Pelodiscus sinensis: one gene and its partners. The protein of the gene in region 4 purifies or fractionates together with the protein of the main gene of each other region. This does not show direct contact. Links are inferred from orthologs where the notes say so. Each region holds a gene or a part of one and is shown on either strand. Other genes may lie near its edges.

Region 1 (7,020 bases), on a different chromosome or scaffold from region 4:
TCGGTCCTAGAACAGATCCTCGGGGCACTCCGCTAGAAACCGACCGCCAACCTGACATTGAGCCATTGATCACTACCTGTTGGGCTCGACAGTCTAGCCAGCTTTCTATCCATCTTACAGTACATGTATTGAATCCATACTCCCTTAACTTGCTGGCAAGAATATTGTGGGAGACCTTATCAAAAGCTTTGCTAAAGTCAAGGTATATCACATCCATTGACTTTCCCATATCCACAGAGCCAGTTATCTCATCATAGAAGCTAATCAGATTGGTCAGGCACGACTTGCCCTTTGTGAATCCATGTTGACTATTCCTGATCACTTTCCCCTCTTCCAAGTGCTTCAAAATGGATTCCTTGAGGATCCCCTCCATGATTTTTCCAGGGACTGAGGTAAGCCTGACGGGTCTGTAGTTTCCTCGATTGTCCTTCTTCCCTTTTTTAAAGATGGGCACTACATTTGCCTTTTTCAAATCATCCAGGATCTCTCCCGATCTCCACGAGTTTTCAAAGATAATGGCCAAAGGCTCCGCGATGACATTTGCCAATTCCCTCAGTACCTTCGGTTTCATTAAATCCGGGCCCATGGATTTGTGTATATTTAGCTTTTCTAAATAGTTCCTAACTTTTTCTTTCCCCACCAAGGGCTGTCCACCTCCTTCCCATACTGCATTGCCTAGTGCATTTGTCTGGGAGCTGACCTTGTCCGTGAAGACAGAGGCAAAGAAAGCATTGAGTACTTCAGCTTTTCCCACATCATCTGTCACTAGGTTACCTCCCTCATCCAGCAAGGGCCCCACACCTTCTCTGATCACCCTCTTATTGCTAACATGCCTGTAGAAACCTTTCTTTTTTTCCTTCACGTCCCTTGCTAATTCCAGTTGCACTTTCACCTTCCCGATAACTCCCCTGCATTCTTGAGCAATATATTTATACTCCTTTCTAGTCATCTGGTTGCCTACCATATTTGCTTCTCTTGCTGTGCATCAGGATGGTTTCTTCCTGTGCCTTTAATAAGGCTTCTTTAAAATACTGCCAGCTCTCCTGGACTCCTTTCCCCTTCATGTAAGTATTCCAGGGAATCCTACCCATCAGTTCTCTGAGTTAATCGCATTGATAAACAAGAGAATACCAATTGAAATGTATTAAATATTGTGGACATTTTTCTATATTTTCAATTACAATACAAAATGTACAGTGCTTACTTTTTTTAAAATTACAAATATTTGAACTGTAAAATGATGAAAAAATAGTACCTCTTTATACTTTGGCCATCATGCCAGAGAACATGCCTCCAGGCTGATGATGCACATTAAAAAATAATGTTAATTACATTTGTGACTGAACTCCTTAGGGGAGAATTGTATGTCTCATGCTGTGTAGTACCTGCATTCTGCCATATATTTAATGTTGTAGCAGTCTAGGAAGATGACCCAGCAAATGTTGTTCATTTTAAGAACACTTTCACTGCAATTTTGACAAAACACAAAGAAGTTCTAAAGCTAACTACAGCACTTGACCCAAGGTTTAAGAATCAGAAGTACCTTCCAAAATCTGAGGGAGAAGGTGTGGAACATGCTTTCAGAATGGGAGCTGAAGTGTGAAGGGACGAATCTTTAGCACATCAGGCATGTAAATATTTTGTGATGCTGGCTACAACCATGTCATGCAAACAACTGTTTTTCCTTTCAGGTGACATTTTAAACATGGAGCAGGCAGCATTATCCCTTGCAAATGTAAACACATTTGTTTGAGTGGACAAGAAGTAGGATTCAGTGGACTTGTAGGCTCTAAAGTTTCACATTGTTTTATTTTTAAATGCAGTTATTTTTTGTATATGTCTACTTTTTTAATTTCAACTTTCAGGATAAAGAGATTGCATTATAGTACTTATAATGGGGAACTGAAAAATACTATTTTTTTACAGTGTAAATATTTGTACAAAAAATAAAGTGAGCACTGTACACTACATATTCTGTGTTGTAATTGACATAAAATATTGAAAAGATGGAAACATCCAAAATATTCAAAAATATAGTATTCTATTATTGTTTAAGAGCATGGTTAGCCACATGATTAATTGTGATTCATTTCTAATCACATGATTAATCACAATCAATTTTTTTAATCATTTGACAGCTTCACTGAAAATGCTTGCATCTGTTGTCCATTTTAAAAAATGTAATGGTAGTAATCCCAGTGTTCTGGCCATATTCTAATTTAAATTAAGTAGATAGTTGAAGTTCCCCTGTTGTTTCAAGTGGACATATTTTTATCTACCTCCCATCTGTGTATTTATGCAGTTAAAGAATGTGTAGCTTCTTCACCAGAGGTGACTAATTTGAGGTGTATGAATTGTGATGCCTGGATATCATTTATATGGATCAGATCCTTTTCTTTGAGAGGCAAAAAAGCTTGTGTAAGGCACAACAATTATGCAAAGGTTTCCCTTTAGGGCTTCTTTTTTGCTGCTAACACTTGAGATATTGTGGGGGTGATGCTCCTGCAAAGCAAATACCTGGCAGCTCCGCACCCTGCCCTCAGACAGTGTTTCCATAGCATTGGAATGACATTGCAGAGCTCCCCAGCATTCAGGTCAGTGGAGTTTTATGCTTTCCACTTGTGGAAGCATGGAAAATAATAGGGCCATAAAAATACTTTGGTATCCTTCAGAATAAAAAGGACCAGAGGAATACAATATACATAGTCAAATTCATTTCTCATTTACAAATCTATGAATGCCTATTGATTCCAGTGGAGTTACACAAATGTAAGAGAAGGAAGTATTTTGCCAATTATTATTACAAGATTATGAAAGGATTTAAAATATTGTCCTTATTAACACTAAAACATGTAAACTTTTAAGTTGTAACAATACTTCAAAACACGCAATATATCACCACACAAAATAGCATTGTTTGCCCTGTTTTTGTAGCTGTGTTGGTCCGGAGAGAGACAGGGTGAGGTAATACTTTTTATCGAACCAGCTTCTGTGAGTAAAAGAGAAACTTTCAAGCTTCACCTTCTAGGCAGTGGAATAGTGCTTGTCAATGCTTCTGTACTTTTGTTTTTTGACCAGATCGCAAGGAATCTCCTTCCTATTGAAGGGGCTGTAATTATTTCACGTAAATAATTACATTAATTTAGCTAAATTTCCTTCCCCTTTCTTTTTGCTTTACTGGAAACAAGGAGAGAGTAAATATCATGGCGGCTGCTACTGGCCTCGTCCTGTCTGTGCACTGCGGCAAGATCGCTTTTATGACATGTGTAGGCAAACAAACATGCACTTTACACGACAACCCCTTCTCTGCCCCAGCAGACACTGAGCTTAAATGTTGTGTCAGCCTGGTGAGTTTCCTGAACAAGACGCAGCCTGGGGGTGAGGGTGGGGGGGATTTCTTAGGCAGCAGAGCTAAATTGCACCAAGGCCTTTTCAACTCTGCAGCTTGCCACACAGAATTATTGTCTCTCCAGCTTGCTGCCACCTCCCACTCATGCAGTTGCTGCAAAGGCAAAAAGACCTTATTCTCCAAGCACAATACGCTACGCGAACCATGCAATTCTGCACCCCCCCCCTCCGCCGGCCAGCTGAGCAGAAGCAACTGAAGAATTTTACGCAAAATGGAAGGCTCTTCCTTCCCCTACGCTAAACCCAGCTCAGAACCAGCCACTGCTACGAAACTTGTGTAGAATAATGTACGTAATATGCCGCTTGGTCAGGGTTTGCCTCCCCGTTCGTTAAATGGGTTACTTGAGTGGCATTTTGCGCAATCGAATTTCGGGAATAAGGAACAGCGTTGTCTCCAAACGCAAGAAGCCAAATCAGATCGTGGGTACTACGCAATTTGCGCATTGTCGTGGTTAGGTTCGGCTTTCCGGCCTCATACGTACTCAGACTTCGAGAATAGGCGTAGCGACGTTCGTATCACCCCTCCCCCACGCCGGCTATTCAGGGACGGAGCTTGCGCAAAGTTCAAGCCGCCCTTAACGTAAGTGGAGCGGGCTGGGGCGGCGGCAGCCATTTTGTGCCGGGAGCCCAGAGGAGGAGGACGCTGTTCTGTCTCCGCGCCCGACGGGCCCTCAGGCGAACCGAGCCGCTCTCGGCCCCGCGAACCGAGCCCGACCGAGTCTCTCGCCTCCCCGCCCCCTCCCTCGGGAAGTGAGGCGGCCAAAGGCGACTCCGCCGGGACACAACAGCCGCCGCCGGCCGAGCCCCCCCACCCCTTCCGCGCCACCCCCAGCTCGCGCCCCTCTGTGCCCCCCGCCCAGCCCCACGGGAAGATGCGGGGCTTCGGAGACCGGGGCCGGGACCGCGACCGCGGCGGGTAAGAGCGGGGGGGTGGGGGGAGCGCGGTGTGGGGGAGGGGCGGCGGGGAAGTAGCCAGGCAACGCCCCGGGGCTGGGCCGCGGGGGTCACCTCCTCGGGCCGTGGACTGGGAAGGTCTTGGACTCGGCTGGATCCAAGGCGAGGCGGTTCCGGGTCTGTGAGGAGCCGCTGGCGGGTGACCCGAGGGGAGGCCGCGGGGGGGCTCTTCGGATTGGAGAGTGAGGGGCCCTAGGTCGCCGCCCGGCTCGGGAGGAATCGCCCCCGCGCACCTTTGTTCCTGCTCTTGCGGTGTCTGGCGCGAGAGGGACGGGGCCGTTTCCCCTCTGGCCGGCAGGATACCCCCCCCCCCCTTCCCTGTCACTGGGTTCGAGTTCATGGCCTTTGACTTCGCTTCTCCTTCTTCCGCACTGGTCACACTTTGAGCCGTAAGGATCCCTCTTCCTCAAGCTGCTGGCCTTGCTTTAGGACTCTGCTTGCCAGGGACAGCACACGGAGTTTGTGGAGGGGACTGGTCCTGACCCTTTTTCTGAATGTCATGGCTATTAACGTGGCCAGAAAAATGGTTGTTAAATAACAGTGCCTATTTCTGCAGTATTCCTAGCCCCTGTTGAAGGTGATGGTGAAAACAGACATGAAAAGTGAACGTGAGCCTTTTGTGTAGTAGCAAAGAGCCCTTAAGCCTGATGAGTGTACCCAGGGTAAGGGGTGGAAAAATCTGCAATCAAACTACGATGTTCCATATTGCTGTGCCTATCAAGTTGGTTCCTTGCTCTTTTGATATCACTCATCATGGGGCCTAATAGAGTTTAGGAAAATAGGATTCAGTTGAGCTCTGATTTTGGGGAACAAGTATAAGACCTCATTTAATCATAAAATAGAAAATATATGAATGGTCCGGGATTGATATTTGAGTACTTGATTTAGTAGAATGGGGTTAAGAAATGGCAATACCTCAAGTTTTTCCTGGAAAAGACTAGTAGGGATTAAAGAGAAGGAATTGGGTCCTGACAGAGAGCAAATAAAATATACTTACTCCTTGTCTTATTTCTCCTTTGACTGATTTTTGAGTCAAGAAATGTGCCTGTTTGCTATATTCAAATGTATTTCCCCTTTTCTCAAGATGAAGTTGAACAATGTTTTGTTAAAATTATCTTTCCCAATAGACTGGATAATCTAAGAGCTCCACTTCAATTTTATATTCACATCAGACATACATATAAGTAACTCCCATCTGAAATATAAAGATCCTTTCAGTTACATTGCAGAGAATAGGGCCTTTTTGTTTTTCCACTATAAGCTTTCTAGTTCAGTGAAAAGCAGGTCTTGGGGTAAATGGTTTGGTGAATCTCAGATGACTTAGTCCCTAGCTGTTTTTAGAGTTAAGTGAAGAGTAATGGTATTCAGAACTATACATAGGTATTTAAAGGGACGCTATCCAGATTTTGAGGCATCAGCATTTGACCTGCCTTTACATATAATCCTATTTTGAGTAAAAATATGCTTTTAAAAAACTTTATTTTCAGATTTTATTAAGCCATGTTTTGGGTAGAACCTACAGAAATACAATACTTTGTTCTCTTTAGAATTATGCTGACGTTGATTCACCTTGCATCATCAAAATGTATTATGACAGGGTTTAGAGTGACCACAGGAAAGGTATTTATAATAATCTTATTTCATATCCATGAAAAATGAAGGTGGGAGAAAATAGTCTTGTCAAAAAGAAAAGGACAGAGTCAGGAATAGGGAAACTACTTGACAATGAATCTTACAAAAAAAAGTTTTAATTCACAGAAAGCTATAAATTATGGGCTTTGGCCCTGATCTCATTCCAAGTAATATTTGGCTTTGTTGCATAGCTTTATGAATTGCTACAAAAAGTCACAACTTTTTGTAATATAAACTGGATTGTGTGTGTGTGTGTGTGCGCGCGCGCCTGTGCATGTATCAGATAGTGAAACAGTAACAAGTATTTCTAATATTGAAAACTCTATTCCTGAATGGTTCCATACCAAAAATTCAGCACATCATAACTTTAAAAAAATTATTTCTGAGATCTAAAACAATGTTTTTTATGACTTGCAGTAATGGAAAATTGTATGGTGGGATTTGAAAGATAATTAGATAGTCCACTTACTGTGTTAGACAAACTTCAGTTGGATGTTTACTTTCTAGTTGCACTCAATTCTTGTTGCAGAGTCATTTAGATCTGGATTTTTGTGTGTCTTGTCCTGAATAAGTTGTTAATGACCTTAATAACACTGATATGGTGCAGTTTTACTTTAGCACTTGAATAAGATGCTGTAGCATTAAGTTCTGGAGGTAGCTGCATTTCAGTTATTGGTGAAGTGAATCAGTCACCACTGAACAAGGACAAATAATGCCATGCAAATAAGCAGAATTACTCTAGGTTTACAATTGAAATTGTAATCTGTTCCATATCAGTAATAGGGTTGTTAAATATCAAGTAATTGACTAATCAAATAGTCGATGCATTTTGCAATGACTATTTGATTAGTCGATAGGGCGCCTTCCACCTTTGAATTGTAGCAAAAGCCCTACACTTCAAAGGTGGAGGCACTGCATGGAGCCCAAGGTCAGCTGTTGACTCCCCCGTTGATCCTGGGCTCCATGCAGAACTGCAGCTTTGAAGCATTGCAGGGAGCCCGGTGTCAGGCTCCTCATGACGTTTCA
Region 2 (6,903 bases), on a different chromosome or scaffold from region 4:
AACCAGTGTGCAGGAGGACAGAGAGTCTACTCTTGTATCTTCCTATTGAAAGAGCAGGCAAATGACTGGCACCATGGTGGCCCGTTAGCAGGAGCAAGGATGGATTGTTTGGAGCAGAAGGTGCTGGGCCGATGGGATGGCATAGAAGACGTGTGCTCTGGGAAGGACAGGCAGGGAGAGGTGAATAGGATCCTGGGTGAAGCATTTGAGAGCTATGTCAGAGATGTGAAATTGAATTGGACAGATGGAAAGGGAGAGCGCAACTGAATCAGGAAGTGAAAGCAGAGAAGAGGGCAGAGAAGGAAGCCCGGATGGTGGATTCAGCACAAAGAGCCGGGGCAAAGTTGCTGAGAGAAAAAAAAAAAAGGACTGCCCCTTTTGCCCTTTTAAAAGGAGTCCCCAGTCGCGTTTGGTCGAGCTTTCATGGCTGCGCCGTGCCTAGGTTAGCACAGGGAGACAGGAGGAGAGGGCCGTTTTGGGAGGCGCGGGGGCAGCTTTTGAGCCACCGGGGGGGGCTTCACGAGCCACACCTGCGGGGGGGAGGGGAAAGAACCTTGGGTTGGCCACCCCTATTCTAGAGCCTCCTGAGTGAACCCTTGCGTGACAGACCCACACACTATCAGGCATGGCAGGATTTTCTACAGTAGCCATAGCTTTTACAAACTGTTCATAAGAATGGCCAGACTAGGTCAGACCGAAGGTTCATCTAGCCCAGTATCCCAATGGCCAATGCCAGGTGCCCTAGGGGGAATGAACAGAACAGGGGATCATCAAGTGATCCCTCCCCTGTCACCTATTCCCAGCTTCTGAGAAACAGAGGGTGGGGACACCATTTTTACCCATCTTGGCTAATAGCCATTGAAAGACCTAACCTCCATGAATTTATTTAGCTTTTTTTTTTAAAATCCTATTAAAGTCCTGGACTCCACAACATCCTGTATTCCACTTTTCCACTGTGTTCCTGAACTATGAACCCATCAATCCATTCATTATGGGAGAATGGCTGGTCACAGTGGCATGGAGGTTTGTAGCTTCCAGGAACGGGGTCCTGCCAACCGGTAAAGGAATACTGACTTCATTAACAACACTGGCAGAGATCCCTGCAACCAGTGACCCACAATGTTTTCCTGCTGAAAAATCCCTTGGTGCAACTGTACTACTGGCAGACCAGGTGCCAGCTCATGCCAAAGGCCTGAGGCCTCAACTGAACACTGCCAAGTGCATGGCTGGAAACCAGTCTGGTCCACTTGTGTGTTAGTATTGCTACAATAGGTATCAGATTTATAGAAATGTATTTAGGCTTTATGGAATGTTTGAGTTGTTGCATGCGTTAATGTCACTTATAATATCTATATCCCATGTTATAAATTAGTATTTAAATGTTTGCTCTGATACAGTAAACTCCCAGTCAGGAGAGAAGCATTACCAAGTGCGGAATACTAGTTTTTCACAAGAGGTGTCATCTTCTGCTGAACAGAACACCCATAGATACCACAGAAGACACTGTGGAACACAAGAGGGAAAAAAACAAGGGATCTCCAGCTGCTTAGCTTGGGTTCTGTAAATAACTTATAGAACTTGCATATCACAGCAACTTCTATTACATGCCTGTAACTCGTTTGTGTATGTTTAATTGTTTTAACCTTTTAATTAACTTTTTTTCTTAGTTAATAAATCTTTAGTTAATTGTAGGATTGGCTAGCACTGTCTTTGGTGTGGGCTCTAAAAAGCAGCTGGAGTAAGTGAGTGGTCCTTTGAGACTGGAAGTAACCTGAATATTGTTGTGTTTTTTTATGTAAGGGCCCATCTGTCACAAAGGAAAGAATACCAGAGAGGCAGTATAGATTGGAGTACCTCATGGGACTGTCTTTGATTCCATTTTAAGGCTATTGTAGTGGTTGGTGAAATCTGAGTTCAGAATGCCCACCCAAATTGTGTGCCAGGCTTCTTCCCCTGAGGTTTGTGCTCATTCTCCAGATTCACTCTGGACTCAGCAATGTTACTTGATTTCATGGGGATTTGCAAGGAGAAAGTTCTTTCCACATTAGCTCAGCGTTAGGCCTCCTGTCACCATCACCTTATGTGTGGGATTTATAAACCCCCAATAGATTCAGCTGCTTCCCATAGTCTTTTTTCCTCCCTTGCATGGACTCAGCTCATTTCCAACAGCTTATTAGGGTGCTCTGCAAAGTCTGAGTTGCTGGACACTACTGGAACTGGATCAATCTCTGATGTCCTCCCTTCCAAGAATCTTAGATCCACTTCCAAAACTATGTTACTCTACCACTTAGAATTTAGGCGAATGCAAGACACTAAAGTGCCTTCAGGCAAGAGTGCCCAAGGGGTCGTGTTGTGCCTACTATAATTTCCCTAGAAGGCAACAGCCAACTCAACACCTGTTGCTAGTGCTTAGGGAGGATGACATGAGTTTAGGACTAGATCACCAGCCCTCCAGTGGCAATTTTCTTTGGTTGATTTGCTGTAAATATCAGAGTCTGTATGAGTGTGTGGTCTGACTTACACATTCCTATCCCATCCTACACTGTTCCCTGTATCCCCACAGCACCCCCCTACCTGAATCCCTTGTGTCCCCACTATACCCCATGCTCCCCACCAGTATCCCTACAACACCCACCCTGCCCTCACCCCATGTCAGTGGTGGGCAACTTGAGGCCTGCGCGCCACATGCAGCCTATTGGGGCTCCTGCAGACAAGCCTCCCCCCCATGTCTCCTCCCCCATGAACCTCTTACACACTAGGCCACCTGAGCCTTGCACTTCCTATGCCTCCCCTCTCCCTCCCAGCAAATTGCCTGTTTTGCGCTCTGATACGGCTCCCCCTCCCTCCCAGAGCTGGAACATTGCTAATCAACTGTTCACTGTGTTCCAGTTTTGGGAGGAAGGGGGAGGACAGGAAGCAGGAGGACGTGAGACAGTGCCACTGTGAAAGTGCTAGGCGGGAAGGGGAGGAGCAGTTGAATGGTGGGGGGGGCTCTGGTGCCCCAGTGCATGAGAAGCACATGGGGGGGGGGGACCTGCAGGCCCATAGGTGAATCTTAAGTTGCCAGGTGTCCGGTTTTCACCAAGACTGTCCGTTATTCAGGTCCCTCGTCCGGTAAAAAAAAAACACAACAACAACAACAACAACAACCAGACCTGTGAAAAGTCTGGTATTTCCTGTTTCTCTCAAACACAAGCCCAGCAGGCACAATTTTCCTCTGCCATGTCTGGTGTTGGCAGGGGAGTGAGGAGCCATTTAAAGGCAGTGCCCCCCCTCCCTTTTTTTCTCAGAATTATTCCCCTTTTTGGGGGTGAGGGGGGTCGGTATTTGTTGTTGAACCATCTGGCAACCCTCGGTGAATCCCCAGTGGGCCATGGGATGCTGTGACCTACTGAGATGAAGGAGAGCCACTCACGTGGCCCACCCACTATTCGTGGTTGCCCCCACAACACCCCCCCCGCCTGCAATCCCCCTGTCCCTGGGGTGTGGCCCCTCCTCCCGGCTGCGCCCCATGCTCCCCTTGGCTCCTGTCGCGCTTTCTCCCCTCGGCTCCAAACCCGACCACGTGGCGCCCTGCGCACCAGGGCTACATGCGCACCACAGCACGTGCCACATTCCCGGGTGCGGGAGGGAGGGGAGAGACGTGCACATGCGCACTACAGCCACTACGCTACGCCCTCAGTATTCGATCGAAGGGGGAGGGGGAGAGGACAATACGCATGCGCCCCAAGTGTAGCCGACGCTTTGTTCTCGACGCCGGGCGTTGTTTTGCGCACGCGCAGTGTACCTCCGGAGGGCGTCACCGTGCTGCGCAGGCGTATTGCTTCCCCTGGGTACTTTTGTTGGCGGCGGAGCGTGCGAGTTCCGGCGGGCGCAGCTCCCTTCGCCGCCAGTCTCGCGCGCTTTCGCCTTCGCGGGCTGAGCGCTGCGCGTGCGCGCGCGCGCAACGCGGGGGCAGGGCACGCAGGGTGACGGTTGGGCATGCGCGTCGGCTCACTTCGGCGCTTTGTTCTCGACGGCGGCGGCGCATGCCCGGTGCTGGCTGCTTCTGACGGGGGCGCGGGGCGAACGTACACGCCGCTCGGCAGCGGGCGGCGGGAGCGCAGGCGCAGTGGGCGAGGAGCCGTTTCCGGCCCTTCACTTCCTGGCCTGGGAGCCCCGGCGGTCGGTGTGTGGCAATCCTGTTCGCCCTCTCGCTCCCCCCGCTCGTTCGGCCGCCCCCCCGCCCCCTCTTTCCGGGCATGCAGCGCCGCGAGGACCCCGCCGCCCGGCTGGGCAGAGCTCCGGGCCCCGCCGCCCGGCAAGGGGGGCCCGCGCCCCGCCGGCCGCCCCGAGGCGGGGCCCGGGGGGCCGGGGCCCAGCCGCCGCCGCTCCTCCCGCCCGCCGCCACCGCCGCCGCCTCGCAGACCCCCACCGCCGCGCCCACCCCGCTCCTGCCCGGGGCCACCGTCAAGATGGAGCCCGAGAACAAGTACCTGCCGGAGCTCATGGCCGAGAAGGACAGTCTGGACCCGTCCTTCACCCACGCCATGCAGCTGCTGACGGCAGGTAGCGCGGGGTGGGGGAGGGGACGAGGCCGGGAGGGGGAAGGGCGCGGGAGAGGCGGGGGGGGGGGGTCTGTGTGTCTGTCACCCACGTTGTGCTGCTGCTGGCGCCAGGCGCCGCCGCCTACGCAACACCTCCCCCCTTCCCTAGGCCGCGATCCGGGGCGGGGAGGGGCTGAGGCTCCAGTCCTGGCCGACCCCGCTCTTTGTTCGGCGCTCACAGCTGCTCTCCCCGCCCCGGGAGGTGACTGGCTGCTCCCGGGGGGCAGGATCCTCGTGCAGCCAGGAGGCCGCCGACTGGCTGCCATGCGGCCGCTTCCCTCCCTCCGGGCCCGCCGCCGCCGCGAGCTGCAGGCGGTCGCCTTTTTGTCCTGGGCTCGCTCCTGGTGGCTTCTGTAAACTGCCTCCTCGGCAGGGTTGAAGCAGCGCGTGGAAAAGCTCAGTCGCCAAGGCTTGGGGTGGGGCGCGTTTTATCGTTGCGCTCGTTCCTGCTCTAATGCACGTTAGATGGATGGGTAGTTTTAATCCGGGTCGATATGGGTGTATCCTAAATAGCATCCAGCCCCAAAGATTAATTCATGGTTTGAAAGGGATCAAACACGAACCTATAACTTCTTTCTCTGAAAGCGTGATTCTCTTGGCTCTTTACATCCATGGGAAAGAGGAGACTAAAGAGAATGGTACGGCAGTAAACTCGGTTTTTTTATGTAGTCTACTCCTTTGAAATGTGAAATTGTGGGGTTTTTTAATTCACCACTATGAAAATCTGTATTAGAGCTTGTTTCATGCCTCTGATGAAACTAAATGGAAATGGCCATGGTAGTCTTTGTTCTGTGACTAGGCTAGCACTCTCTTCCCCTGATCATCACTGTCCAATCGCCTGGCGGCTCAGATTTTTCCACATCACTACAGCGCAGCTGCACTGTGGTCACACATAGCTGTATCAAGTAGACAGTTTTGTTTAAAAATAGTTGTTAGTGTTTTAACTTGTTCGTTTTTAAACCAACAGTTTACTGTGTAAAAAAAGAAAAGGAAGTGTAAACTGCATATAAAGGATATAATTTTTTAGATTAGAATAATTTAGCCCCTTGTTAGGATTGTTACATTTAAAAATATCTGATACTAGTGAAACTATAATGCATTCTTTATGAACTGCATTATTAGAAAGCAGTTATAATATGGCATTGCCAGTGTTAATATAGTAGACACATTACGTCACTCATCTCAACTCTTCATGTAAAAGTAGGAAAGTGCTGTTTAAAGCTGTCATCTTCGTTGTACTAGAGATTTGATGTGGCTCCATTCTGAATTTGTATCTTGGTGCCACTGATATTCCTCTTGGTTATGATAAATTAGATATGTGCTATTTCCAGGTTAATTAAAGGGTCTTCCTGAAATCATGTTTTTTCTGAAAACAATGTTTAAAGATGACTAGATAACCTGTTGACTAGACCAGGGTTTTCCAACCTATGGGTTGTGACCCGTAGTGTCTTCATTACATTTCAAAAGGGTTGGCAAGTGTCTCCCCAGGTGGCGCTCTTAAGGAGCCATTCACACATTCGAAAAGGTGGTGTCCCTGTCTCCCTCTTCCCTCTCCCGCTCCAGCTCTACAACTGGCTTAGTTTTAAGGAGCCATTCACCTGCAGTGGTACTCAACTTAAACCAATCAATTGAATACCATTTCAGTGACTAAGGCAGGGGTCTCCAACTTTTTTTAAACCCAAGATCACTTTTTGAATGTGAGTGCAATCCAGGATCTACCTCAAACCCAAATACCCTTGTCCTGCCTCCTTCGTGCTCGTTCTCCCTCCCTTTCCCCAGGCAGGGGCAGAGGGTTGGAGCACAGGCTCTGGTCTTGGGCTAAGGGATTTGGAGTGTGAGGGGACTCTGAGTTGAGCCTGGGGTGCAGAAGGGGGTTTGGGTCTGGGGGGGCTCAGGGCTAGAGCAGGGGTTTGGGGTATAGTGGGGTACATGACTGGGGCAGGGGTTCAGAGTTGGCTCCAGCTGGACACTGTTTACCACAGGTGGCTATTGGGTGGTGTTGCAGTGGGGCTAAGGCAGGCTCACCCCTGCCCTGGCCCTTCACCATTCTCCAAAGCAGCCAGAAACTCCTTTCATCCCAGGCCCTGTTGTTCCCCTCTCCCAGTTCTGTGGAGATAGACTACAGAGTGGAAGAAGAGGCACCCTGACATCAGCCCCCCATCTCCCTTCCTTGCTCTGTTTCACAAGTAGGAAGCTCCCTGGGGAAGGGCAGCTGAAGTACTGGCACTTGATAGGTGATCCTGACTGGTTTGGCTATCAGAGGCTCCAAGATCTACTAGTAGATCCAGATCTACTCGTTGGTGACCACTGGAGTAAG
Region 3 (7,497 bases), on a different chromosome or scaffold from region 4:
AGAGCGCCGCGACTGGCTCCAAATGTGCCATTTGCACCCCATTGTTGGCAAAGTTGGCCACGAGTCCCTCCATGGAATTGGCAGATAATCGCACGAAGGCAGAGGGAATGCGGCCATTGTGTGCACGTTCAGGGCTGAAATGCGGCACAGAGGTCACGGCTTCTAGTTCGGCAAATTCCACTCCATCTGGTGAACCCGGCGAGTTTCAGCGAGATGGAGGGGACATGCCCCATCGCCGCCATCGCTCTTTGGCGTTACAATGTTAGACGCGCTCACTCTTACTCCGCCACGGCCTTGTGCTTGTTCCTACAAAGCCTCACCGAAGTTTAATGTAATCTTACTTAAAATTTTCTTAGAGTAGTTTCATAAAACTGTTTTACAGGAACTCCGAGGTGATCGCTGGTAGAACCATGATGCCAAGAGCAGCTGTTTGGCTGGTCCACATGGTTTATAGCAATGCTATTGATCGTAGACTGTCTTCTCGTATTAATGTAAGCACTAAACAGGCAGTTAAAAGATCTAACTGCAAATAACTTAGACACAGGAGGTGCGCTATAAATAATAGACTCTGCAAATACATATAGGCTGCACAGGGCAAAACTCAGGCTCAATATTTTGAGATTTTTTTTAATCATAGAAACTCCATAAACCAAAAACCTAGAAATTTCAGCCCAAATTTAAAAAAAAACAACTGCTAAATAACTAACTCCCTGAAAACCAATGTTTGCCCTGGCGATGACAGTTTAAAATACAGAGGTGCTGCTGGGGTAATAACCTCCCATCTTCAGAGCATGACACTAAAGGAGACTGAATTCAATTGTGTGCAAGTATGGTGCATACTCGTGTGTGCACGTGCACCAGTGCAGACTTAGTTGTGTGTTGCTGTATACTGTTTGGCTGTGTCTACAGTGGGCCACTTATTCCGGAAAATCAGCCGCTTTTCCGGAATAAGCTGCGAGCTGTGTACACTGGCCCTTGAATTTCCGGAAAAGCAACAATGCTCTACTGTACAAAATCAGCCGCTATTCCGGAAAAACTATTCTGCTCCCACTCGGGCATAAGTCCTTATTCCGGAACACTGTTCCGGAAAAGGGCCAGTGTAGACAGCCCAGTAGTCTTTTCCAGAAAAGCGCGTCTACATTGGCCACAGACGCTTCTCCGGAAAAGCAGCCTGCCAATGTAGATGCTCCTTTTCCGGAAAAACTGAAAACGGAATAGTATTCCGTTTTAAGCATTTCCGGAAATTCATGCCAGTGTAGACACAGCCATAGTGTGTTTCGACGGTGCATAATGTATCTTTCCATGGATTATGGATTATTTGTATTGGCATCGTGTCTATAGTCCTAGATATGGGGTAGGACCCCACACTGTGGGTCTACATGCTCCTCCTTGTCTGGACCTGAAAGCATTGTCAGAAATGCATCATCTTTGGGTATCCAGGCTTTATTTTTGCAGACTAAATATAGAAACAGCTGGGCCCAAAATACCCTGACAGGTAAGTCTTACATAAGCAGAAATGAGGCGGCAGCAGTGTTCTCTGTTCCTTTTAGCACATACCGAGCAAGCGTCTGAGATGCCTCTCTCTCTCCTGCACCACACCCTGGCTCCAAAAGGCACCTTTTCCCCCCGAGGGGGGGTTTCTATGATTGTACAGTACACCGCTGACAGACTGTCATAGTGACAAGCCTAGGGGAGGCGTGAACATGACAAATATTTCACAGGGAATCACGACGGGGCTGGAATTAAGGGAGGCCAGATAGGATCAGTTGCAGTGGCTATAGGTATCCCTGGCGATTTTGTAGCTATAATCTGACTGCTGCTGCTGTGGCTTGGTTGCACCCAGACAGTCGGGTTTTTACATGTGGCGTCAGCTTGGAAGGCATCTCTTGTCAGGGTCGGGAGGATGGTATTGGGTAAGGATTCATTTCCCCTCTCCTGCAGCCCCATTGGTCTATTCATGGGGCACCCCCTAGGGTTGCATTTTGTCAGCCCGTGCCATCCAGTGTTAGTTCGATGCAGCTCAGACTTGGCAGTTTCCTTGTTTTTCTGGGACTTGGCCAACCACTTTGGTAAAAAATTGCTAGGGCCTTATAATGACTCCATTTGGAGTTTGCCTGCTCTGTGCCAAGGATGCTCACCATCCCGAGACACGTCTGTGCCTCTTGCTTGCCCAGCCACCTGACTGCTTTTGGATTCCTAGAGGGTGACAGTGGTTGGTAGCGCTTTCTTTTCATTTTTAGCTACCTGAGAGGTTGCTGCCTTTTCTTACTGGTGTGGGCCTCACCACAGCCATGCATAACTTTGGCATCTGTAGGTCGTACTGTGGCAGTGAACTTTACGTAGGGGCTAACCCTGAAGATAAATGGGAACTTTTAGCTAGCAGAGAAAATAAATGGCTTGCCTGCTTTTAGTGCGGCTGATTCATGAGCATGTTATCCCTGTATGCCACACGCTGCATGGCTTCCTGTTTGGTTTTAGACACTCTCGAAGTTTAATGTAGAACGCCCTATTTGAGACGTGGCTATCTACAAGACCACAAGCCCGACTCTCTCCTGGATTCTGATTCTTTGATCCCTCTCTGCAGCTGAAGAGGCACAAGAAATCATCTAGATGCGGCCAGCTGTGAATTCTCCCAGTGGGGAGGGAGTTCTCAGCTGGCACAGAGCTGGCATAGCTGGGCCCCCTGCTCTATTCCCACACCCAGCCCAATCATAGAACTGGAAGGGGCCTCGAGAGGTCATCAAGTCCAGCTCCCTGCCCTCATGACAGAATCAAGCACCATCTAGATCATCCCTGATAGATGCCTTTATAACCTGCTCTTCAATATCTCCAGTGATGGAGATTCCACAACCTCCCTAGGCAATTTATTCCAGTGTTTGACCACCCTGACGGTTCAGAATCATGGTAGGAGCTCATGCACTCTGGCCATTGCCAGCATTAGTTTTCAAGCTGTGCGTCGGGACCCCAAAGTCTAAGGACTTCAGCCCTGGGCAGCAAAGCTCAGGATACAGGCCTGAGGTTGGGGCTGAAACTCTGGAGGTTTGGCCTCCCCTGCCCAGAGCACTGGGGCTTGGGCCCCCTCCCCACATGGGCTCAGGCAGACTCAGCCAGCCCCCACTCCCAGTGTTGTGTAGCGACTTTTATTGTCAGAAGGGGGTCACAGCGCAATGAAGTTTGGGTTACAGGAACCCCTGGGGCCTTCTCTTATCCTGTGGCCCCCACAAGATCTGAGCGGGTCCTGACAACAGTATCTGGGTGTCTCCGGGCAGTCAACCCACGGGGAATTGAACTGGAAATCTCCAGAGCTGAACGCACATGGCTCTAGAGTTTGAACTTCCAGCCGGCTTCTGAGCAGGAGGCTGTCATGGGCACACATGGTCTGTGCATCCTGCACTGAGGGGGACATAGTGGCCAATGAGTTACAAGTAGCTGAGAGCCGGAGGGAAGACATTTTCACTGCAGGCCCCTTGGCTACTTGAAACTCTCCCTGGGGCGTCTGTTAGAAATTTAACCCCTACTGCCCTTCAGAATAAGGGGCGAAGTTCATCTCTTCCTCCAAGATTTTGTCCACTGTCTAGTTTTTCTTCCCCCCCCCTTCTTCCTAACAACTTCCTTCAAAATCCAGACGCTTCGGGAGGGAGCCGAGTTTGTCTGTAACTGGACAAAAAGCCTCGCAGCACCTTAGTGATGAACAAAACACGTAGCTGGCATCACCCGCGTCTTTGGATGAAAATCCAGCTCCCCCTCCTTTCCGGGCACTGCTACCTTGAAACTAAACTGTCGCTGCCACTGGTGGTGCTTTTAATGTTCCTCGGGGCTTCTCGAAAGGGTGAGCGCAGCTCCCGTGGTCCATGGCATCCCAGGGAGCGGCCCGTTTATTGAATGCAGACACTGGGATGGGCACAGGAGGCCGTTCCGGAGAATCCCTGCGGAATCCAACAGGTCTGGGCAGAGGTGGCACTAAGAGGAAGCGGCTCCCCCACGCCCTACTTCTCAGGGGCTTGTGGGGGGTGTTTTAAGTCCCACGCTCCCCCTGCCCCGGGAACCGCGCAGGACCCAAGGGTGCTGGGGCAGCTCGTGGCCACACTCGCCCAGGCGGGTTGAACTGTCTGCCAGGGTGTGGGAAAGCCTGACGATCCGCCGGGCACGGCGCGCAGCCGCCTCCAAGCCGGGCACTTGCGCGCTGGCGCAAAAGGGGCGCAACTCCTGCGCGGCGCTGCGCGCGCTGCTGCCCGTCCCCCAGCGGTGCCTAAGGGGCGGGCACGCGGGGAGCCAAGCTCCCAGGCGCAGGGCTGCGCCACGCCCCCTTTCCGACTCCGCCCCCTCCCGCCGGCGCTGCCCCTTTAAGGAGCTCCTCCGAGCGCCGCGCATTGCATCAGGCGCGCGCGCGCCGCCGTCCCGGGCCAGCCCCTCTACGGCGCGCGCGCGCGCACTCACACACACACACACACGCGCCAGAGCGGGCGCTGGGCGCGCGCACGCGGCGGCGACAGGGAGGGAGGGGAGTGCGCGCTCCCGTGCCAGTCGCGTGGTCTCCGTGCTTCTCCATATTGCTGCAGCCGGAGGGGTGCCGCGGGAGGGGGAGCCGGCGCAGGGACCCCTCCCCACTTGCTCCGGGCTGCGTGCGGCTGAGCAGGGCCCCGCCCGGCGGGGGGAGCGCCTGGAGCAGGAGCGGGGGGGACGCGGCGGCCGGCCGGGGGCGCAGATGGCGACCCAGGTGGAAGCTCTCCTGCCCGGCAACCCCCTGCTGCCCGCCGAGGAGCACGGGTTGCTCATCAAGAAGCCCCAGGAAGGGGGCCGGGAGAAGGGCGAGCCCCTCATGCCCCAGGGGGAGAAGGCCAGCGCCGAGGAGGGCAGCGGGGGCGCCCCGGACAGCTGCAGCAAGGGAGGCGGCGCGGCGGGGGAGCAGCCGCGGCGGAGCGCGGCGGCCAAGCCCCCCAGCATTAAGCAGCAGAAGGAGGAGAGCAACAACCAGGAGAAGGAGAACCTGCTTCAGCAGCGAGGAGGGGGCGAGAACCGGCTGCTGGGCGAGGCGGGGGGAAGCGGCGAGGAAGGCGGCGAGCAGGGAGGAGGCGGGCGCAAGGAATTCATCGAGGCCCCCCCGCCCAAGGTGAACCCTTGGACTAAAAACGCCCCCGGGGCCGTGGTCACAGTCAACGGACAGTCCCCCCCAGGTGGGTAAGCGGGTGAGGCTGGGGGGGTCGCCCTTCCCCGCGGTGGGGTGGGATCGCTGAAATGCAGTATAGTGACTCTGGGTTTTTTTGTTCTCTTCCCCCCCCCAACCCCACCCCATTGGCTCTTGCGCTGTTGGATCGACCCCTGCGTCGGGGTCCTGGGCCCCATCGGCCCCCATGCGTCAGCTCTGTAGAGAAGGGGAGTAAGCGAGGGTGGGGTGCGCGGGCGCAGCAGGGCGTGGGGGGCTGGCAGCGGCCGGAGGGAGCCTCGCCAGGCCTCGGGGTGTCTCACACGCCCGACCAGGACACAGCCGGAGCTGCTTTTTCGTGAAAGGCCTCCCCCCCCAGGTGCATGATAGAAATGCCGGGGGGGGGGGGCTGGTCGGTGCGTGTAAGGAAGGGGGAGGGGACGGCTTGGTGGGAAGAGATCACTTTCCTCCCCTCCCCCCGTGGAGCCAGGCCGCATTTCCCATATTGTAAATGTTTAATGAGTGTGTTCGGCACGGAGCAGGAAAAGAAGAGGCCTCCACGCCCTTCCCCCGCCTGGATTCGGGTGCCAGAGTTGGCCCGGGTGCTCCGAATAGGGGGGTCTCGCGGGCCGTAGCCCGGCGTGGGGGAGAAACTAAACGTGGCCTGGGCGCGTGGAAGGGGATCTGCTCGCCCGCCGCCGCGCTCCGCCTGCCTCCGAGCCGGGCGCACGTTTGGCGGGGCCGGGGGAGGTCATCGGGGGAACGGGGATGGGGGATTTCTGGGGCGGCCCCGGCTCGCTGGGGAAGGGGAGGCTCGCCGCCTGCGGGAGCCATGAGGGCGTAGAGAGCATGTGTGCGGGGGGAGGGGGAGCCCAGCCCAGGCGGAGCGGCTCGGCCATGCGGCTTTGGGGCGGGGAAGGAGGAGGGGGGGGAGGCAGCGGCGGGTTTTCACGCCGAAGGTTCCACGGCACTGTTGCAACGTTCCAGGCCGCGGTGTCAACGTTCCAGGCCGCGGTGTGAACGTTCCACGGCGGAGGGCTCCAGCGTTCGATCGGGGCTGCGCGCGTGTGTGGGGGGCGGGCTGCGCTCGGGGCTGCCTCCCCTTCCCGGCATTCCACTGCAGTGAAGACAACGTGGTTTTCTTCTGCTGCGAACATGTGATTTCTCCCCCCCGCCCCCCCCCCCCGCTCACCGCGGGGCCTTCTCCCTTTTCCCGGCGCTGATCGCCCCCTCTCCCGCCGGGTTGGGTCCCAGCAAGAATTTGCAGCGCCTCAAAGGGTGACAGACTAGCTGTGCTGGGGAGGGAAAGGGGGGGGGGGTACGAGAGGCTCTGCTTGGCCTGGCCCATCCCCCACTCCCTGCCTCTCGTGTGCGTGTCGGATCCGTGCCCCATGGATCGGAGCACGCCGGCACCGTGTGGGGGAGATTCCCCTTCACCCCCACGTGTTCTCCCTTCTCACCGCGGCCCTGCGCGTGTGGGAAAGGGAATCCCTCCTCCCCACGTGTGCGTATTCCTCTGTAGCGTACTGCGGCTGGGCCCTTGACTCCTGTCTCCCGTGCTTCGCTGGCACCGTGACATGTAGGCCTCAGCGCTTCATTTCACGGCCGTGCCGTTGCTGTAAATAAGCTGGCGTGTAACCCTTTCTTCCCAGCATTGAATTTGCGTGGAGGATGGGAATGGGAGGTGAATATGCGGAACAAACAACAGCCCCCTTCCCCGCCTTTTCTTTGGAATAAACCCTTGGCCCGAAGGACATTGGGAGTAACTTTCTGGTAATCCTGCATGTTGCAATGCTGGTTCTCTGGTGTAACCTTAGCCCCTCTTCCCCCAAAAGTTACTGGGAGGGGAGGGCTGTGTGCTCAGTGCTAGTTTAGTAACAGCTGCCTTTTGAATTGTACATTCTTCCTCCCTCCATTCTTTTTAGGCCAAGATGGGAAATGCTGAACACTTTGCATTTTCTTGCAAGTTTTAATAGCTATTACCTCCGTCAGGAGCAATAAACTGTTTTAGCATGAAGGGAGCCCATGCCAGGAGAAAATACTGAGAATTTGAATTGGACATCTCCTTTATGAAGGCTCTTACGCTTTTCAGCCTTCCCTTGCAAACTTTAAATTACATTCCCAGCTATGGCATCTTTTTTTCATCCCTGCCTGTGCCAGCATTTTGCAGAAGTTGGTACCATCTAACATGATGAATCATCATAGCTATTGATCTTTGGAAGATGGTCAGTTCTGCAGTATCTGCTTGGAAAATGGTTTTTTTTTTTTTATAGTGGAGGGGAAAAGCATATATGAGAACTCACCCAAAAATCTCAATGGAGGCAAGCTGCTGTAGTCTGTGAAACCATGGAATG
Region 4 (7,664 bases):
CTTCTTGCGCAAGAATACGCATGCAGTGTAGACGCTCTAAGTTTTTGCGCAAGAATGGCTGTTCTTGCGCAAAAAGCCTGTAGTGTAGACGTAGCCTTGGGTTCTAGCCTCAGCTTTAGGAAAGGAGGAGTCTAGCAGGTTGGAGCAGGGATGGGAGTAGGAACTCCTGGGTTCCATACACTGCTCTGCCATTGACTCAATCCGCGAGCCTGAGCAAGCCCCCTTCCCTCACCATTTGTAAAATGAATATAGACAGGGGCTCAGAAGGGAAATGTTTAGCCATACCTTCCCGTTGTTGAGCTGGCTGCTGGTGGCTGGGAATAGCTAGGATACGATGAGGGTTGTCCGTAAGAGGTCTGAGAGGTCTGACTGCTGCCATATCCAGTTGTTCCATAAGCTGGAGGTGTTGACTGAGTGCTGTAGCCAGCTGGTAAAAAACCCAATCCATTCTTAAAACATGGCCAGGCTAAACAGACCCAATGAATCCCTTCTATACCTCAAGCTGATTCAGTGCAACTGAAGTATAGAAGAGAGGCACCAGCTTATGTCTCCACAGCTCCTTTGGAAAGGCCGTGTTACTTAGTAAAGAATAAAAGTAACTCAGGAGACAAATTCTAACCTCAGTTCTGCCACATGTCTATAGTTTCAAGGCACTTGGTAAGATGTATCATACTAAACTTCCCTCCCATCGGCCCTAAATTGCAGGCACCTCTGGGGATGATATACAGAAACTAGTTAGATACACAATGCAAACCTTGGGGGAGGATACCAAGTAGGGAAGCAAATTTTACGCAATCCCTAGCCCATATATAGGCTAGAACTAGATGATGCAGATTCACTCTCACCCAAAAATGAAAGGTGATAGGGATTTTGTATTATTCAGAAGGGCTGAAGAGTGTTATTGGGTTTTTAAACACTTGATGCAGTAGGGACTGAATCAGCAATATAGCCACACCAATTAATGGATCCTTTGATGGAATTGGCCATCTGGAGAGAACCGATAGGAAAATACTCTGACGTCACTCAAGTAACTTTTGGATGGTGCTGATGAGACTTGCTGGCAGTGAAAAACAGCTTCACTTTAGCTGGACCAAGAGAGTGACACTTACTGCTTTGATTCTGGCCGTAAGAAGAACTGTAACTGTTCTGTCCATATGCTGAGGTGTCTGCAGACTGGCCGTAACCGCTGTAGCTCTGCTGGCTGTAGGGCTGACTCGTTTGCTGAGAGTATCCCTGTCCTGGTGGTGCTGGGTAAGCCCCATAGCTAAATGAGGATCAGACAGGTTAGATATTCCAGAGGCCAGCAGTGACTCCATAGTTAAGGCTGCAGCAGTTTAGAAACATTTTTTTTCAGAAGTCCCACACACATAAGCAAACTAATTTGAAAATTACCATGACATGGTGACACCATGTATCATGCAATTTGGGTTGAGGGGGATTTGAGGGAATAACCCACATTGTATCAGAAGCCCTGAACACCATTAGCACTGCTCCAGGGAAGCAACGAGTCAATGGATTTAACAGCATGGACTAACAAGTGTGTCAGTTGCATTACAGGGCAATAGGCAGATAAGAGCATTGTGCTAAATAGAGGCAGAGTCCCTGCCCAAAAGAGCTTAGAAATCAAGGGTGTTTAGGAGGAAGTTTCCTTTAGAATCACGTCATTATTTAACTCCCTGCTGTTGTTTTATTTAGATGTTTCTATAAAGCAGAGAATGCTGGCCGCTATTGGGAAACAGGATGCTGGGCTAGATAGGTGCACTGATGTGATCCAGGTCTCTAGGAGCAAGGAGGGATAACAGACTAGATGGGCCCACAGGTCTAATCCAAGGCAGGAATGTGGGCTGGAAGAGCCCACTGATCTAAGGCACTAATAGAAGAGCGATGAAGGAAAGACTCCTGGGATAACCCCCCCCTCCCCCATGTGCCAGCGTTGTCTTCTTTTTGCAGAGCCCAGACGGCCAGCGCCGCGCACGGGCGGGGGAGGGTTACCTCTGGGTGGCCGGCTGGCTGTAATCTGCAAGACACAAAGAGGGAAGCAGTGAGTCAGGTCCCAGACCAAAGCCCAGCTCCCGGGAGAGGACGGGCGGGGGGAGCAAGGGGGGGCACCGTACAGAGGGGAGGGGGAGGCCCAGTGCGCAGGTGTGTGTGTGTGGCTCCCCCCCCCCGCAATGGGGCGGTCACAGGCAGTGCAGGGCATCTACCCCCAGGCTGGGTGGCAGCGTGTGTGCGTGGGGGGGGAGGGAATGGACCACGCTTCACTCAGTGGGCGGGAGAGGCGATGATTGGTCGGGCGCGGAGGCTCCAACCAACCCGCTCTGGCGCCGCCTGCACAGCGCGTGGCAGAGCCCGGATGAAAGACTGCGGCAAAAAAAAAAAATCCGCACGACGCATGCGCCCACACGCGGGTGCAGGGCGGGCGGCCCATTTCTACTGCGCATGCGCCGCCCTCTGCGGCTCGAGGCGGCGGCGGCGTCAGGGGCCACAGCGCGCGTGCGTTCTTCTCTGCCACGCCCTTCCCTCTCCGCGCGCGCCTCGCGCCCCCTCCCTCCCCAGGCGCGCAGGCGCCGTTGGGCTACACGCGCGCAGCGAGGAAAGAGCCGTTTCCTTTCCCCCCCAAAATGGCGGCTAAGGCCTCAGTGTCGCAGGTATTGAAGGGGGGAGGGCGCCCCCCCGCACGAGGCACCGGCCCCCCCGCGCTATGTAGGAATTGCGGCCCCGCGTGCACCGGGCGGCGCTGAGCGCGGGAGCCCGCCCCCGCCACGGGGGGGGCATTCGTCCCCGGGGGGGGGGGCTGCGACCCGCCCCCCCCCCGACGGGTCTACAACCCATGAGCAGCCCCCTCCCGCCAGCCCGTGCCCTGCCGCAGAGCGGCGCCGCCTCACCGTTAGACGCCATTGCTGCTGCCGCCGCTGGAGTGAACGTCCCTCCCCCGCCCGGCAGTATTTATACCCTCCCCTCCCCCGCCCCTTGCTCCTGGACCGTACCAACTCCCTCGGCAGCTGGGGGGGTTGCTTGGCCCCTCCCTTCTCAGAGCCGCTGTTGCCCGCTCCCCCCCCACTCGGGGCGGACCCGCAGCCGGGTGTATTGTCTGTGCAGGGGGGGCGGTGGTTTTTCTCTGTGCACAAGGCCCCTGTTCTGCCCTTCCGGCCACCCCCCCCCGGGAGGGGAATGGTGCAGGCTGCGGGGGTGGGGGCGCGAGGAGGAATGAGGTCATGGGGCTGGGTGGAAGGAACCAAAGTGACTGCGGAAGCGGGGGGGAGGGGAGGATGCGGGGAGAAGGAGTTTGGTTTTCTGCGGGGGGGGAGGGTATTTGTGTGTGTGGCTGGGTGGGAGGGAGGCAGGGAGGGGTTTGTGCTTAGGGCAGTGTGAGTGTGTGTGTGTGTGTGTGTATAGGTGTGCATTTGTGGGAGACCTTTGTGCATCAGTGAGCAGGAGTCTGAGTTGTGGGTCAGTGTGCAGGAGTGTGTGTGCGTGAGAGAAAGATCTTTTGGGGTAAGTGTACAGAGGTGCATGTGTACGAGACTGTGGTGCATCAGTGTGCAGGGGTTTAAGATATTTGTGGGTCTGTGTGCAGACCTGTGTGTGTGTGAGAGAGGGAGAGAGAGAGAGAGAAAGAGAGAAATCTTTGCGGGTAAATGTGCAAGCAACACTTGTTTAGTTTGTCATACCAACAAGAAATCATTGAATTGATAGGAGGTGGGTTTGTCCAGTAGTGTCTCTTTGGGGGAGTGTCTCCTGAGGGCAATGTGGAGTAATGGTAAAAGCCATGGGCCAATACCTAGGGTCTTAGATCTCTGGCCTTTTCGGTGATCATGGGCAAGTCACTTTCCCTTGGCATGCCTCATCTTCCTTACTAGTAAAACTGGAATTAACTCCTTTGCAGAACTCTTAGGCTATGTCTACACTACATGCGTCTTGTGCAAGAAGCCTTTTGCGTAAGAGCTTTTGCACAAAAATTTATTGCGCAAGAGCACGTCCACACCTCAAATCACATTGCAAAAGCACATCACTTTTGCGCTGTGCTTTTGCGCAAGAGAGTGTCCACACTGCATGGGCGCTCTTGCGCAAGAAAGCTCTGATGGCCATTCACAGAATGACCATCAGAGCACCTGTGCTTTTTCCTATAGCAGTTTCTTTCGCAAGAAACCCCTCTGGAGCATCCACACTTGCCTTTTTGTGCAATAGCTGTAGTGCTAAAAGCAGTTATGCTTCAGAAAAGGAGGTTTACTTATGGTGGAAAAAGTCCTCTGTTCTGCCGTTTAACTGCCCATTTAATTGCCCAAGAACTCATTTGAGCTGTGGATGCTCTGCAGGTTTTTGCGCAAAAAGCTTATAGTGTAGACGTAGCCCTAGAAGCAGACCAAGAACACTAGATAAGTGCTAAGGTGTGTGTGTGTGTGTATAGGGGACTGAGACAAGTACATGGGTTTATATAGATGGATAGGTACGTATTTGTGTCTAGATATGTGTGGGGATCCATTTTTTTTCTCCAGTGTCTAAATCACTCTGTGCATTTGTTGATGGTATTTCCAAAAGCTGATTTAATCTGGATTAATCCTGACTGTTGGCATAAACTGAGTTCATGTCTGCAGTCTTGCTCTTGATTCAAGAAGGCGAGCCAGTTAAATTGCTCAATAAAGCTTAGTGAGATCCTTGACTGACCTTTGTTCTCTTGTTGCAAAGTTCACGTCTGAATATTTATAACAGTTCAGCTGTTTACTACACCTTCTTCTCAAACCCTAGAAGAAGTATCCTGGGATGCATTTCATCAGGACCTGGTGACTTGCTGACATCTAACTTTCCTAAGTGATTTTTGACTTGTTCTTTGTGTATCCTATCTTCTAAACTTACCCTCTCTCTGCTTGTATTCACTACGTTAGGCACACCTCCAGACTTCTCGGTGAAGACCGAAACAAAGAAGTCATTGAGCATCTCCGCCATTTCCAAGTTCCCTGTTACTGCTTCTCCCTCCTGACTAAGCAGTGGGCCTACCCTGTCCTTGGTCTTCCTCTTGCTTTTAATGTATTTATAAAAGGTCTTCTTGTTTCCCTTCAGTGGGGACGTTTCTTAGTGAGCCATCCTCCAGTAACAAAGTAGGAAAGAATTCATGGTAATAAAAGTAAGAGTCAGTTTTAATGGTAGAATCAGGCCAGAACAATTCCAAAGGCAGGGTCTGAGATTTTAACCATTTCAGATTATACAATATAGGGATCACCTAGAACTCAGACAGCTGGATTTCAGCGCTGATATTGGGGTGGGATGTTTGAAAGGATGAAAACGGTCTCTAAAAGAATGCACTTTAAATTAGATTGTAAGCTCTTTGGAGCAGGAACGTCACAAAAAGTGATTACTCTGCAAGGGTGGGGAACCGTTTTTGAGTCCAGGGGATGCTGACCCCACAGAAAAATCAGTCGGGGAGCACACACAAGTGAGAAGCAAAATAGAAAAACCAAACCCTCACTGATGTGGCCCCTGACTGAGAAGGAGAAAGACACTCCCCATGTTCCCTTTGTACACCAGATCTGAACTGTACTGAAGTTCAGCCACTGTTAGGGTGAGTAGATTAATAGATTTTAACACCAGAAGAGGCCACAGGTCTGTTCATATTTAATCCTCTCTCAGTGCAGGGCAGTGTGATCAGATTAGATGGTCTTTTGAGGCTTTATCCAGTCCTACCTTGCTGTAATTCCATAAGTGGAATTGACTTCCAAGAGAGTTTCACTCAGATACCTCTGTACTGAACCAAGTAACTTGTGTTTGACTAAAGCATCTTGTCTATTCTTGATCTGAAGCTATCAAAATATAGAGAATCCACCAGCTCTCTTGGGAAGTTAGTTCCAGAGTCTAATTACCCTCATTGTTAAAAGTCAGGGCCTTGTTATTTCTCATTGGAATTTGTCTGTCTCCCAATCACTGGTTCTTGTTATGCTGTTCTTTGCCACAGTGCATCCTTCTCTGGGGTGGAGCCTAGCAGTCAAACCCACATATATCACTACTGTTGGCTGGCTGAGCTAAGAGCAAACCCTTCCTCTTCGGAAAAAAAAATCACAGGATCTTTGCTGGAGCAGACCAAATCTTGGTTAAAAAGCTGGTTGCAGAATTTCTGGGAAATTCAAACTTGATAGCTGTCCCACAAGCCATTCCTATGAGAGACTTAGGTTCTGAATTCTCGTTAGCTACTCTTGTTCCAAGGAGAAACTGAGAGGGAAAGGTTACCCACAGCTGCAAGGAGATCACTCAAGACTTTGACACATTATCCTTTACGTGATTTAGATCCACATACAGTAACTCCAAAGTCCTCCCAAGCAACAGATGGCTTGCAGGGTGGCCGAATCCTTCACATCCCAGTTTAACGAGGCCTAAAATGTAATTCCATTAGCTGCAGGTTCTAGGGTGGAGTCAGATTTCCCCCTATTTCAAGACACATTATATCGAAGCAGCCCTTCCTTCCCTTTTTCAGTCTGCACCCCTGAGCAGGTTTTTAAAGGAAGATGAAAAATCTTTCCCTCAGGTTCCCAGGCCGGATGTCTCAGCAAGGATTGGGAGTTTAGATCAGAAGCTGTTTGGGGTTCGAGTCATCTCTTTGGTGTGTGTTTGTGCAGCCCCTAGCACAAAGGCCCCCAGCTGTGATATTTTGAACCTTGTTTTATTGTGTCATTGTGAATGTGTACTTGTGTTTTATGACTTGAAAAGTGTAAGTAGCAATTCATAGAGGACATAATTAGATGCCAGAGATAGTAATCAAACGCCTATCAACACGATAATATAAAAGCAATACCGTTACTTCTTTTGCCATGCTTAATACATCGTTTGGTGACAGTTTCCTGAGGTTAGTACATTTCACTTATTCTTAAAATTAAAAGGTTTCTATAAGCTTAGAGGAAACACCTTTTTTATTTGCTTATCTATGGCATGAACAAATACATCATCTCTTATATAACAGGGATAAATCACGCATCAGAGTCATGAAATGGGCTAAAAATAAGGTGTTAAAAAGCTGAACAAGTGGAGGGAGGCATGAAACACTCTTTGCTTGTGACGCCATTTAGTGTAGGGCCTGCCCTGCTAGGCCCCATAAGTGGTATGATAAATAAACGTAATGATTCTGTACTTATCACTGGGGTATCCAATTCACAATTGTCACCGTGGGTTTCTTTTTTAAGCAGCATTTCTTTTAAAACCCCTCAGGATCAGGGTCCATTCAGCTGCACAGAATTCGTGTCTGGCGCAGTGTGTTTTCCTCATGACAAAAGAAAACGAACGCACGTTTAAGTCAATGGATGAAAAAATGAGCGTGGGAGGTGAGCAGAAATTGCACTTGGGGAAGAAAAAAAGCCCATGAACAAAATTGAGGCCTGGATTCTTTGTCTTGGGGCCTATCTGCGCTGGGGGCTCTGACTCTGCAGTGGTGACGTGGTATAAGAACCCACACAGAATAGAAAAGGTTGGTCCATGTCTCGGATCGGGATTCAGGAAGAAAAACGATTCCTCTCCCTGGAACCCCCTTATTCTGCAAAATGGTTTCTTCCCCAGTCCAAGGCTTTCCTGTCTGTGTCCCTGAAACCGGTTCAATCCGGCTCAGAGGCCCATGCGCCATTTATGAATGGCCTTGCTGGGCGTTGGCAAGGCAACCGTGGAAAGTAGGTCACTGGCTCAGTGCA

What was found.
Region 1: the proteins of FUS (region 4) and DDX17 purify together in Homo sapiens (affinity purification with mass spectrometry; 5 studies listed by BioGRID and IntAct, with this or other methods). This does not show direct contact. The link is inferred for Pelodiscus sinensis from reciprocal best matches to the Homo sapiens genes FUS and DDX17.
Region 2: the proteins of FUS (region 4) and KHDRBS1 purify together in Homo sapiens (affinity purification with mass spectrometry; 3 studies listed by BioGRID and IntAct, with this or other methods). This does not show direct contact. The link is inferred for Pelodiscus sinensis from reciprocal best matches to the Homo sapiens genes FUS and KHDRBS1.
Region 3: the proteins of FUS (region 4) and LARP1 purify together in Homo sapiens (affinity purification with mass spectrometry; 3 studies listed by BioGRID and IntAct, with this or other methods). This does not show direct contact. The link is inferred for Pelodiscus sinensis from reciprocal best matches to the Homo sapiens genes FUS and LARP1.

Annotation. Positions count from the first base shown.
Region 1 is NC_134711.1:91,724,720-91,731,739, forward strand, and holds the start of DDX17 (putative ATP-dependent RNA helicase DDX17), read left to right. Parts: upstream 1-4,017; 5' UTR 4,018-4,280; coding exon 4,281-4,324; intron 4,325-4,416; exon of another isoform or gene 4,417-4,746; intron 4,747-5,964; exon of another isoform or gene 5,965-5,982; intron 5,983-7,020. UniProt on the Homo sapiens protein: As an RNA helicase, unwinds RNA and alters RNA structures through ATP binding and hydrolysis.
Region 2 is NC_134735.1:3,883,470-3,890,372, reverse strand, and holds the start of KHDRBS1 (KH domain-containing, RNA-binding, signal transduction-associated protein 1), read left to right. Parts: upstream 1-3,896; 5' UTR 3,897-4,241; coding exon 4,242-4,548; exon of another isoform or gene 4,549-4,567; intron 4,568-6,903. UniProt on the Homo sapiens protein: Recruited and tyrosine phosphorylated by several receptor systems, for example the T-cell, leptin and insulin receptors. Once phosphorylated, functions as an adapter protein in signal transduction cascades by binding to SH2 and SH3 domain-containing proteins.
Region 3 is NC_134727.1:38,046,917-38,054,413, forward strand, and holds the start of LARP1 (la-related protein 1), read left to right. Parts: upstream 1-4,486; 5' UTR 4,487-4,705; coding exon 4,706-5,174; intron 5,175-7,497. UniProt on the Homo sapiens protein: RNA-binding protein that regulates the translation of specific target mRNA species downstream of the mTORC1 complex, in function of growth signals and nutrient availability.
Region 4 is NC_134714.1:131,652,903-131,660,566, forward strand, and holds the start of FUS (RNA-binding protein FUS), read right to left. Parts: upstream 3,014-7,664; 5' UTR 2,899-3,013; coding exon 2,886-2,898; intron 2,649-2,885; exon of another isoform or gene 2,581-2,648; intron 2,018-2,580; coding exon 1,993-2,017; intron 1,265-1,992; coding exon 1,110-1,264; intron 428-1,109; coding exon 286-427; intron 1-285. UniProt on the Homo sapiens protein: DNA/RNA-binding protein that plays a role in various cellular processes such as transcription regulation, RNA splicing, RNA transport, DNA repair and damage response. Binds to ssRNA containing the consensus sequence 5'-AGGUAA-3'.